Linked DNA regions of Coturnix japonica. The protein of the gene in region 1 interacts with the protein of each later gene in a biochemical or structural test. Links are inferred from orthologs where the notes say so. Each region holds a gene or a part of one and is shown in the gene's direction. Other genes may lie near its edges. The genes, in order: SPI1 and IRF8.

Region 1 (4,438 bases):
GTATGCTACTGTATACTGCTTTCTTTTCTGTATTGATTTAACTTTATCATTAGGACTGTAATGTTGTCACTTTCCTGTTTCCCAAGATAGATCTGACCAATTCTAAGCTTTCATCCAAAAGGAGACTTGACAATAATCTCTGAAGCAGAAATGGACCATTTATGAGCTTGTTTATTTCAAGGTTAATGCCAAGATTACATGGTGCAAACAATCTAAGAATGAAATGGTTATGTATCAACTGATGACAGTGAAATTCAGCCTTAGGCATCAAAAGTTAATCTCCCATCGTGTTTTGATCTTATCCCATTGCTAACATGGTTTGCTTGTTTGGTTCCTTAGGGTGGGGAATGAGAGGAACTTATGAGTAGCCTCTGGTTTTACCAGTGTATGAGGGAGGAAGTTGTAGTGGCTAAAACTCCCCCTCACACATAGACCCAGGTGAGTGGTGAACAGCCTACTTTCAAAAGCAGAACCTGTGGCACATGGGCACATATTGAAGGGGAACAACCCAGAGAAAGCAACTTCACTTTTCCAAAATATCAGTAACTATTTGCAAAGCAAGAAGGCATTTTGCAGAATGAGAGTTCTCCCATTGCAGCAAGGCCCCATCCTTTACGTCCTGCACTGTGACCCACTCACCCCTGCCTCTGACTGAACCTTGGTGGGAAGGGCACGTGCTCACTGTAGCCTATGCAGTGTTGAGCGAGAAAGGGGAAAGAACTTGTGCATAGAGTTTAAGCAAAATTTCTACATGCAATTTCATAATCCAGCCATTCAGATACCAATCTACAAACCTTATTCTCTACTCACTGTTAAAGGCACTCTGAGAAGTCAAGCCATTACATGGGGCATATAATGCTTTCTCCTTTCCCACTTTTTTTATCCGTGCGGTGCCTAGAAAGAAATCACAACAAGAAGACTTAGTATTTTTCTCTAAATAATTTTGATCTGTAGCAAATTCTATGGAGAAAGTCTAGCGGGCTCAGTTTCTACAAAACATTGGTTTTATAGAAAATTATATTTTAACATTAAAAACCAAATTTAAAAGAAAAAAAAGGGGGGGGGAAGGCTTGGGGTTTTGATTTGTTTTTGTTGTTGTTGTTTTGTAGTTTTGTTTTTTTCTTTCTTTTTTTTTTTTTCTTTTTTTTTTGAATATTTGAGAATGTGTACATGACGCTACATACTCTTTTCTTTCTTTTCTCTTAATTCCAATACAGCACTGTTACTAAAACAAGTCTATGCCACTGTTCTATCCTCACAAAAGTTGTCAGGCTCTGTGATCATTAAGCAGCACCATTATTTGGTTCCTCCACAGCTGGAAGTACACAGGCTTACCACAGCACACTGTACCCATAGACTTGTTTATTGGTAGCAGGCCCAGGCACTGGGTTGCTGATTATACAGCAAGCACCTGCCCATGGCAGATCTGGCTTGGGGCAGACTTCCTGTTAGAGCGCCACAGCTCCCTGAAATGAGATTTATGCAAACTCAAAGCTGTGATGATGTCACAGCGCACTGATAGACCCAAGGGCTATCTCCCTTCTACAGACATTTGATAAAATCAGGAACTTCAAATACAACTTGGAAAGAAGTTCACCTCAGAACCTATTAGGGCAAACTATGAAAACTTGTTAGGGTTATTCTCCTATCCTGAGATCCACCACTGCAAAGGGACTTTGCGGAGTCCAAGGATCTCATTTTTGTTCTTTTTTTTTTTTTCCTTCTTTTTTCTCTTCATTGTTTTGTTTGTTTCATGTGATTTTTCAAGTCAGTTATTCTGGATGTTTGAAAACTGAATTAAGAAAAATTCACTCTGAAATTGGCTGAATGTTGCAAGCTTGCAAAATGGAAGGATTTCCCCTCATTCCCCCTGTGAGTATGCGGGCTTTATTTCTAATGTGGATCATTGGGTTTAGTAGCAAAAGACAAAGTAAACCAGATTTTAATATTTGAGATTGTCCTCTTTTGGTCTACATTTGTAATGCTGGGAAAACAGGTTCGGGTGAATATATAAAGCTTGGGACAACATTACAATGAATGGGAAATTAATGTTTCCTTCCTACGCTTATATCGGATCTTGATCTCCATTTGCTTTCACAGATTAAATGTACACTAGTTCTGTATGATATGCATATGGCAAGCCAGTACAAGTGCCAGCTTTGTGGTATTAGGCCAACTCTTGCTTTAAGCTGTAATTTTTCATAATCTGGAGACTGTTATAATTCGCGTAATTAACTTTCTACCAGTCAGAGTTGTTGAATACTGATTTTAAGTACTGTTGGTTTTTGGACTCTGTGCTCTTTGTACTGATGGTGTTTTAGTCTCTGCCTTCACCTTCTTTTGAATCTGAATTTTCTTGAATTCACTTGTTGTAAAAAAGTAACTGGAGAATGATGAAAAAAACTCCACTGTGCTTAATTGGGCCTTTCAATATTTTCTGTTAGATGCAGATTCTTCCGGATGATAACAAGACTAGTTCTATCTTTTTTCCTTTTTTCTTTTTCTTTAATAACACTGAAGCATCGGGATGTTGTTGTAATGTATTCTACCATGAGTTTGAAGATTAGTTTTATAAAAAATGTAATGGCACCAGCCTGTCATTGAGAGACAAACCTTCACGGGGCATTTCTAAGAAAAATGGGACAAAGAGGCCCTAACAAGATTTTATGAAGTTTGTATAACCTAGAGTGATATCAGATAGGGTGCTTTAATTGGCTTTCTTTTTCTTTTTTTCTTTTTCTTCCCCCCCCCCCCCCCTTTTTAATGTGGTAGATAACTTACAGTACTTGCTTATGTGAAAAAAAGACAAGGCCCAACCAACAGTCCTTTTAACAAAACGCACATCATATTCACTTTTTCTATTGCCCCACCTAAAGAAAGTAAAGCCATATTTCCTTATCTTCAGATCTCCAGAAAAAACAAAAAAACAAACTCCCTGGTTATTTGAATTTCTTTTCTGTCTGGAATCTATATTGATTGAAAAAAATACTTGCCTCTTACATTTGGGAGATTGTTTATTCTAGCAGTTAATCAGTGGTGACCTTAAAGTTCACTATTTACCCAAAGTGTGAGAAGACTCTAAAAATCTTCTTTAATTTTTGAAAATATGTCAGCATAAGCATCCAAAAAAATTGAGAGTATAGGGAAAAAAAAAAAAAAAAAAAGAAAGAGTATAAATTTCTCAATATGTTACTTGGTGAGCTTAACAAAAATCCCCTTCAAAAGCACCCAAACCTTGTCCTCAACTACTCCAGCAAGCAGCATCTCAGTTTTATTATTATTGATGATTTTCTGTCTACTCATTCACTCAAAGCCAACTTTCCTGTACTCTTTTTTAAAGTACTGAATTCCAGTTCATACGTTGAACAATCTGGGGGGTTGGCCTCAACAACTTTCCAGCTCCTGAAATTCTATGATTCTGGGAGTAAATTCTAACATAGTCACACACACATTCTAATTTCTGTTGAAATTAGTATTTTGGCTAAAGTCAGGTGAATAAAACAACAGGCAGTAAAATACAATTACATCTTAAAGGAACACTTGGTGGGGTAATTTGTTTCTTATTTTTGTGATTAATGCATTCAAAAGTGAATATTTTTGTGTTTCGTACTTTCAGAATTGTTTCAAGTGCACTCTGAGCAGGGTGAGTTACAGCCCAAGCATGGCATCACTATAAACGTCTGTGCCTCTTGGGACTTTTTCTGAGAAGAGACATTACCCTGTTTCTACACAAGGGTTCCTGTGAAGCAACATTTTCCTCCTCTGCCCCTCCCCATTCAGTTGAGGGTGGGTCAATAACTGCCTTCCTCCCAACTCTGCTAGGAAACTCTTGACCGTCCTTTGGAAAATGCTACTCAAATGGTTTAGGAGTACACATCTTTCTCCAAAGACTATGAATATTTTTATGACAGAGTTCAGCAAAGTGGACCCAAGCCTTCCAAGTGGGAGCTATTCATATCCAAATTCCTAAGTAGTCATCTGTCACAGCTCTGAATGGAGGCTTGAGAGGAAAAAAAAGCCTCTCCAATGCTTGCTGTCCCATAAAACTGCTTCACTCCAGTGGTCTGGTAAGGCTGGCCCAATGAGCGATCATGTTATCATTTTCACTCATCTTTTCTAAAATAGTTATACTGTTAATATATAATATAACTGTTAATATAGTTAACCTTGGCCTTAAAATTTGTGTCAGCAGCACATTGTTGGAAACCATGTAGAGTATTTCTGTATCACATGCCAGTGAATAGTTACATTGGGATAACAATGAAAGCATTCAGTGAAATTATGATCACCTGGAATCATTTGACAAGGCCAATTTTCAAATTGTTATTCAATTGAATCTCCCGTATCGCACTTAACTAATGCCAACCAAACCTTCTCCAATAAGTTCTGTGGCTTTTCCCTTGAGTTTCCAGAGTAGAGAAGGAAGATATAAGCAACT
Region 2 (4,508 bases), on another chromosome or scaffold:
CTTGTGCTAAGCCTAAGGAATATAAGCAAAGCCAATGGGCTGGGATTGACTGAGCAGCACCTGGAGCAGCGTGGGGATGAAGACATAGATAAAATGGGACGGAATGAGACCGGACGGACTTTGGACACACGGACACGAGCCGCCCCCGCTCCACGATGTTGATTTCCCGGAAAACCACGAGCTGCGGAGAAAAGCGCGCGCGCGCGCCCCCTACTGGCGCGAAAGGAGGAGGAAGGGCTCCTATTGGCTGAGAGGCTCAGGGGGCGGGGCGATGTAGGGCGCGCCTTGCGGGGCGCTATAAGGGTGCGGGCGCGGGCGGAGGGGAGCGGAGTGGGGTGCGTGGAAGGTAATTAATGGGGTGTGTTGTGGGGTGTGGGGAGGGATCGGGGTGGTATTAGGGTGTCTTTGGGGTCTCTGGTTGCTGGAGTGGGGGTGTAGAGTGCTGGGATAAGGCTTTAAGGTGTATGTAGGGTTTTAGGATGGTGGGGGTGAGTAGGGTACAGACATGGGGGGTGGCTGGTTGCTGGAGTGGGGGGTATACGGTGCTGGGATAAGGCTTTAAGGTGTATGTCTGTAGGGTTTTAGGGTGCTGGGAGTGAGGAGGGTACGGGCATGGGGTGCTAAGGGAGGGGGTGTTAGGGTTGTGGGGTCAGGGTGGTGCTGGGATAGGGTTGGGGGTGATGGAATGGAGGCTGCAGGGTGCTGGGGGTTAGGGCTTAAAGGTGCTGAGTTTATAGGGTGCTGGGGGTGGATGGAGCTGAGCTGTGGGCTCTGGGAATGGAGTTTGAGGGTCCTGTGTGTGTACAGTAAAGCAGGCAGGGTAATGGGTTGTAAGCTGCAGGGTGCTGGGAGTGGTGCTTATAGGGCTCTTGGGTGTGTAGGAAATAGGGCTGCACGGTGCTGGCAGTGCATCGGGAAGGATCTTTGGGTGCTGGGATGTGAAGTTTGAAGGTAACGTGAACAAGCTGATGAGAAGATGGGCTGAATTGGCTTTCTCATGGCTGCTCCATTAAGCCGTTTAGCTACAAACGAGCTGAGACCAGAAGTGGGGTGACCTCACATCCCTCAGCAGGGCCATGGTCCTGTCCTGGAGAGGATGTGGTTGGGTGACCCTGCTGCTACCTGCACTGCTCCTTGCTGTTCTCATGCTGCATGAGGCTTTGCCCTTTTAGGTCTTTTTTTTTTCCCCCTCATTGCTTTAGTACTGGGAGCTGTCTGCCTCTATAGCATCACTTCTTTAGCTGACAGCCCAGTTCCTATGGGGTTGACCCCAAAAAGAGGGGCCATTGCAAGGCAGCCTGTTGCTGCGCCAGAGCTTTGATCAGCAGCAGGAGGAGGATAAAGGTGCCTTCCAGCAGGGCTTCCACGCAGGCTGCAGATAGGCTCAGGCTGCAGATAGGCTCATGAGAGCTTTCGTCATACTCAGTAAATGGGGTGTGGGCACCGGTCCAGTGCCTGCCCACATGGCTGGGGCGGAGCGATGGGGGAACGGCTGCAGAACTGCTGCTATGGCTTTTGCAGTGTAGTAAAGGGAGGTTTGGTGTACGGAGGGGGACGTGGCCAATGCTGCATGTGATAAAGTGGAGCAGAGAGTGATCGCTTCCATGCCCTGAAAGTGAGAGGCAGCTATTAGAATGCGTTAAGATATCTTCGTAGACCAGACTGCTGTTAGTTGAGGGGTTGCAAAAGGGTGTGGGGATAAACGGACAGACTGACAGCTCTTATTTCTGCCCCAGGATGTGTGACCGTAACGGTGGGAGGCGGCTGCGGCAGTGGCTGATTGAGCAGATAGACAGTGAGCAATACCCAGGGCTCATATGGGAGAATGAGGAGAAAACCATGTTCCGTATCCCCTGGAAGCACGCAGGGAAGCAGGACTACAACCAGGAGGTGGATGCTTCGATTTTCAAGGTAGGATGAGATGGTCTGTCATTATAACCAATGGTTTCTGGGCTATAAGGTGAGGTGGTCTGGCCCTGTTGTCAGTGGTTTCTGGGCTATCTGATATGCTCTGTCACCTGCCCTAAGCTTCCTAATGGGCTCTTTCTGATAAGAGTGTATTTACCAAAGAAAGAAAAGGAAGGAAGGAAGCGTCAGCTATTTCTCAGAGAGGAGGGACTTCACACATTGGGTATAATGGGAAAATTCTGTCCTGAACCAAAAAGTCAGGCTCTTCCCCAGGAATTCCCTTTGCTCTATTCCCATACCTTGCCCCATTCCCATACCTTGCTTTATTCACGATGACTGATGGCTTTCAGGGCACCGATCACAGCAATGGGTTATAGAGGTGGCTTTATATATATTCATATCTGCTATCTATATTAAAAGATAGTCTCCCACCTCCCCGTGAAAGCACAAGTGCCATTTAGATATTAAATGAAGAATCCAGCTGGCAGTTTCTGGTCTAAAGCTGAAGGGGTGAGCTGTATTTTAGTCTGGATTTGGGTGTTACTGGGTCAGGATGGGCATCATTGCTTGGGTCTGCACCCTTGTATCAGTCCATGCTGAGACGAATTCACATGCTGCTGTTTTAGCTTTGGTTTGAGCTGTATTGTGAGGGGCCATGAAACCAACTCCAGCTCCCATAGCTTGGTGTGGTGTGGCTGGTGCAGAGCTGGCTGTGTGGCAATGCCTGAACTTTTGGGGACTTATGAGTTGTTTGTGAGCAGCAACGTGCCCAAGATGTGCTGCCCATCCACTCTTTGGTCCAAAGGGATTTGCAGAGCTTATATTGAGAATGATTTCATTCTTGCTTTGCTTTAGGCTTGGGCTGTTTTCAAAGGCAAATTCAAAGAAGGTGACAAGGCAGAACCGGCCACCTGGAAGACACGGCTGCGTTGTGCCTTGAACAAGAGCCCTGACTTTGAGGAGGTAACAGACAGGTCCCAGCTGGACATCTCTGAGCCCTACAAGGTGTACAGGATCGTGCCAGAAGAGGAGCAGAAATGTGAGTGCTCCATTGAAAGGCATGGGCTCTGGGTACTGCTGACCTATAGCCAGCAGTGTGGGGCTGGCCCCATAGCTTGGGTGCATGTCCTGCATCACTGCAGTGCTTTGTCCTCCCAGCACCTGCCCTGGCAGGGAGTTGTGATAAATCCCTTCCCTCTTGCTATCACTCCAATAGAAACAGCAGCTCAGCAGGGAGCAGCCACTGCTGTATGGCACAGGTTGCAATATGCATCTCTCTGCTGTTGTTCTGATGTGTGATGGAGTTTTTCCTTTCTCTCCTTGCTAGCTTTGTCTTAGTAAAAAGGAGGAGAGGGGGAGAAAACAAGATAAATCACGCAGGAGATCTGCGTGTAGCATCTTGTCTCCTATGTGTTTACACTGGGGGCCCTGTATGCAAATGGCACTGCAGGTTCCCACCGGCTCATGGCAAAAAGAGAAGCAGCCCCGGTCTCTGGGGTGCTCAGAAAACACCCTCTCCTCTGCTCTAACCCCAAGCCGAATTTAGTTTGCCCTACTGCTCGTCACTATGTACCAGTGCCATTTATTGCAGGCTGGTTTCTGGCCCCGTAATGCAGCTGCTGGGGGGGAAGAGGAACGCGGGATTGCTGCGGTTCTCAGTTTCATAACTTTCGTGGGGTGAAGGGTTTCTGAAATCTGGTGGTGAGGCCACGGCTGCTCTGCTGCATCATCCTCACTGCTCTCTGCAGGCAAAGTCGGTGTTGGGAACGGGAGCAGCCTGACTGATGTTGGGGACATGGACTGCAGCCCCTCTGCCATCGATGACCTGATGAAAGAGGTGAGCTCCCACTATGGATGCAGACCTGACCAGGCAAAGACTGCTTGCCTGGTGGTGCTTAAAGCTACATCTGCCTCATGTAGAGCACTGTGCTTTTGCAGCTGTGCTGGCTGTGGTCATTCATCTGCGCAAGTCTGAGGTCTCGGTGTGGTTGCTCATGGCTGGAGCATGCTTCGTTTGCATTTGTGTTTGGAGGGGGCTGCAGGCTTCTTGTGCTTCTGTTCCCTTTCTTCGTTGCACTGTGTGGGGCCTGTTCTGCTCCATGCCTCTTGAGAGGTTATTTGAGTGCACAGCCTGGGGAATCCCAAACTTGCTCTTTCTAACCAAAAAGCATTCACCAGCCTCTTGGCATCCCTTTTGCCTTCTTGCTTTGCCTCTCGGACCCCTCTTTGGGCACTATCCAGCTTTTTTTTGTCCTTGGCTGATCCTAATGGGTGTCCCCTTCTGCTCCAGCCTCCTTGTGTGGATGAATATCTGGGGATCATCAAGAGAAGCCCCTCACCCCCACAGGAGACCTGCAGGAACCCCCCAATACCAGACTGGTGGATGCAGCAGCCCAGCCCCTGTAAGTAGTGTGTGGAGTGTTCTATAGGACCCAGCTGTTTGTCCAAGGGCAGTGCCTGTGATGATGGATGGTGTAGGCTCCCTCTGGGCAATGCTTGTATTCCACCTTCCTTAGTGCTTGAAATCAGCATTTTGGTGGATATAGGGCATCCCACCGTGCAGCATTCATTGCACAGTTCTTGAAATTACCCTGGGGGTG

Evidence for each region.
Region 2: the proteins of SPI1 (region 1) and IRF8 form a complex in vitro, tested with the Homo sapiens proteins (3 studies listed by BioGRID). The link is inferred for Coturnix japonica from reciprocal best matches to the Homo sapiens genes SPI1 and IRF8.

Annotation. Positions count from the first base shown.
Region 1 is NC_029520.1:20,476,829-20,481,266, forward strand, and holds the start of SPI1 (transcription factor PU.1), read left to right. Parts: upstream 1-1,488; 5' UTR 1,489-1,827; coding exon 1,828-1,872; intron 1,873-4,438. UniProt on the Homo sapiens protein: Pioneer transcription factor, which controls hematopoietic cell fate by decompacting stem cell heterochromatin and allowing other transcription factors to enter otherwise inaccessible genomic sites.
Region 2 is NC_029526.1:15,660,005-15,664,512, reverse strand, and holds the start of IRF8 (interferon regulatory factor 8), read left to right. Parts: upstream 1-1,500; 5' UTR 1,501-1,508; coding exon 1,509-1,522; intron 1,523-1,592; exon of another isoform or gene 1,593-1,615; intron 1,616-1,645; exon of another isoform or gene 1,646-1,667; intron 1,668-1,736; coding exon 1,737-1,911; intron 1,912-2,763; coding exon 2,764-2,947; intron 2,948-3,656; coding exon 3,657-3,745; intron 3,746-4,198; coding exon 4,199-4,310; intron 4,311-4,508. UniProt on the Homo sapiens protein: Transcription factor that specifically binds to the upstream regulatory region of type I interferon (IFN) and IFN-inducible MHC class I genes (the interferon consensus sequence (ICS)). Can both act as a transcriptional activator or repressor.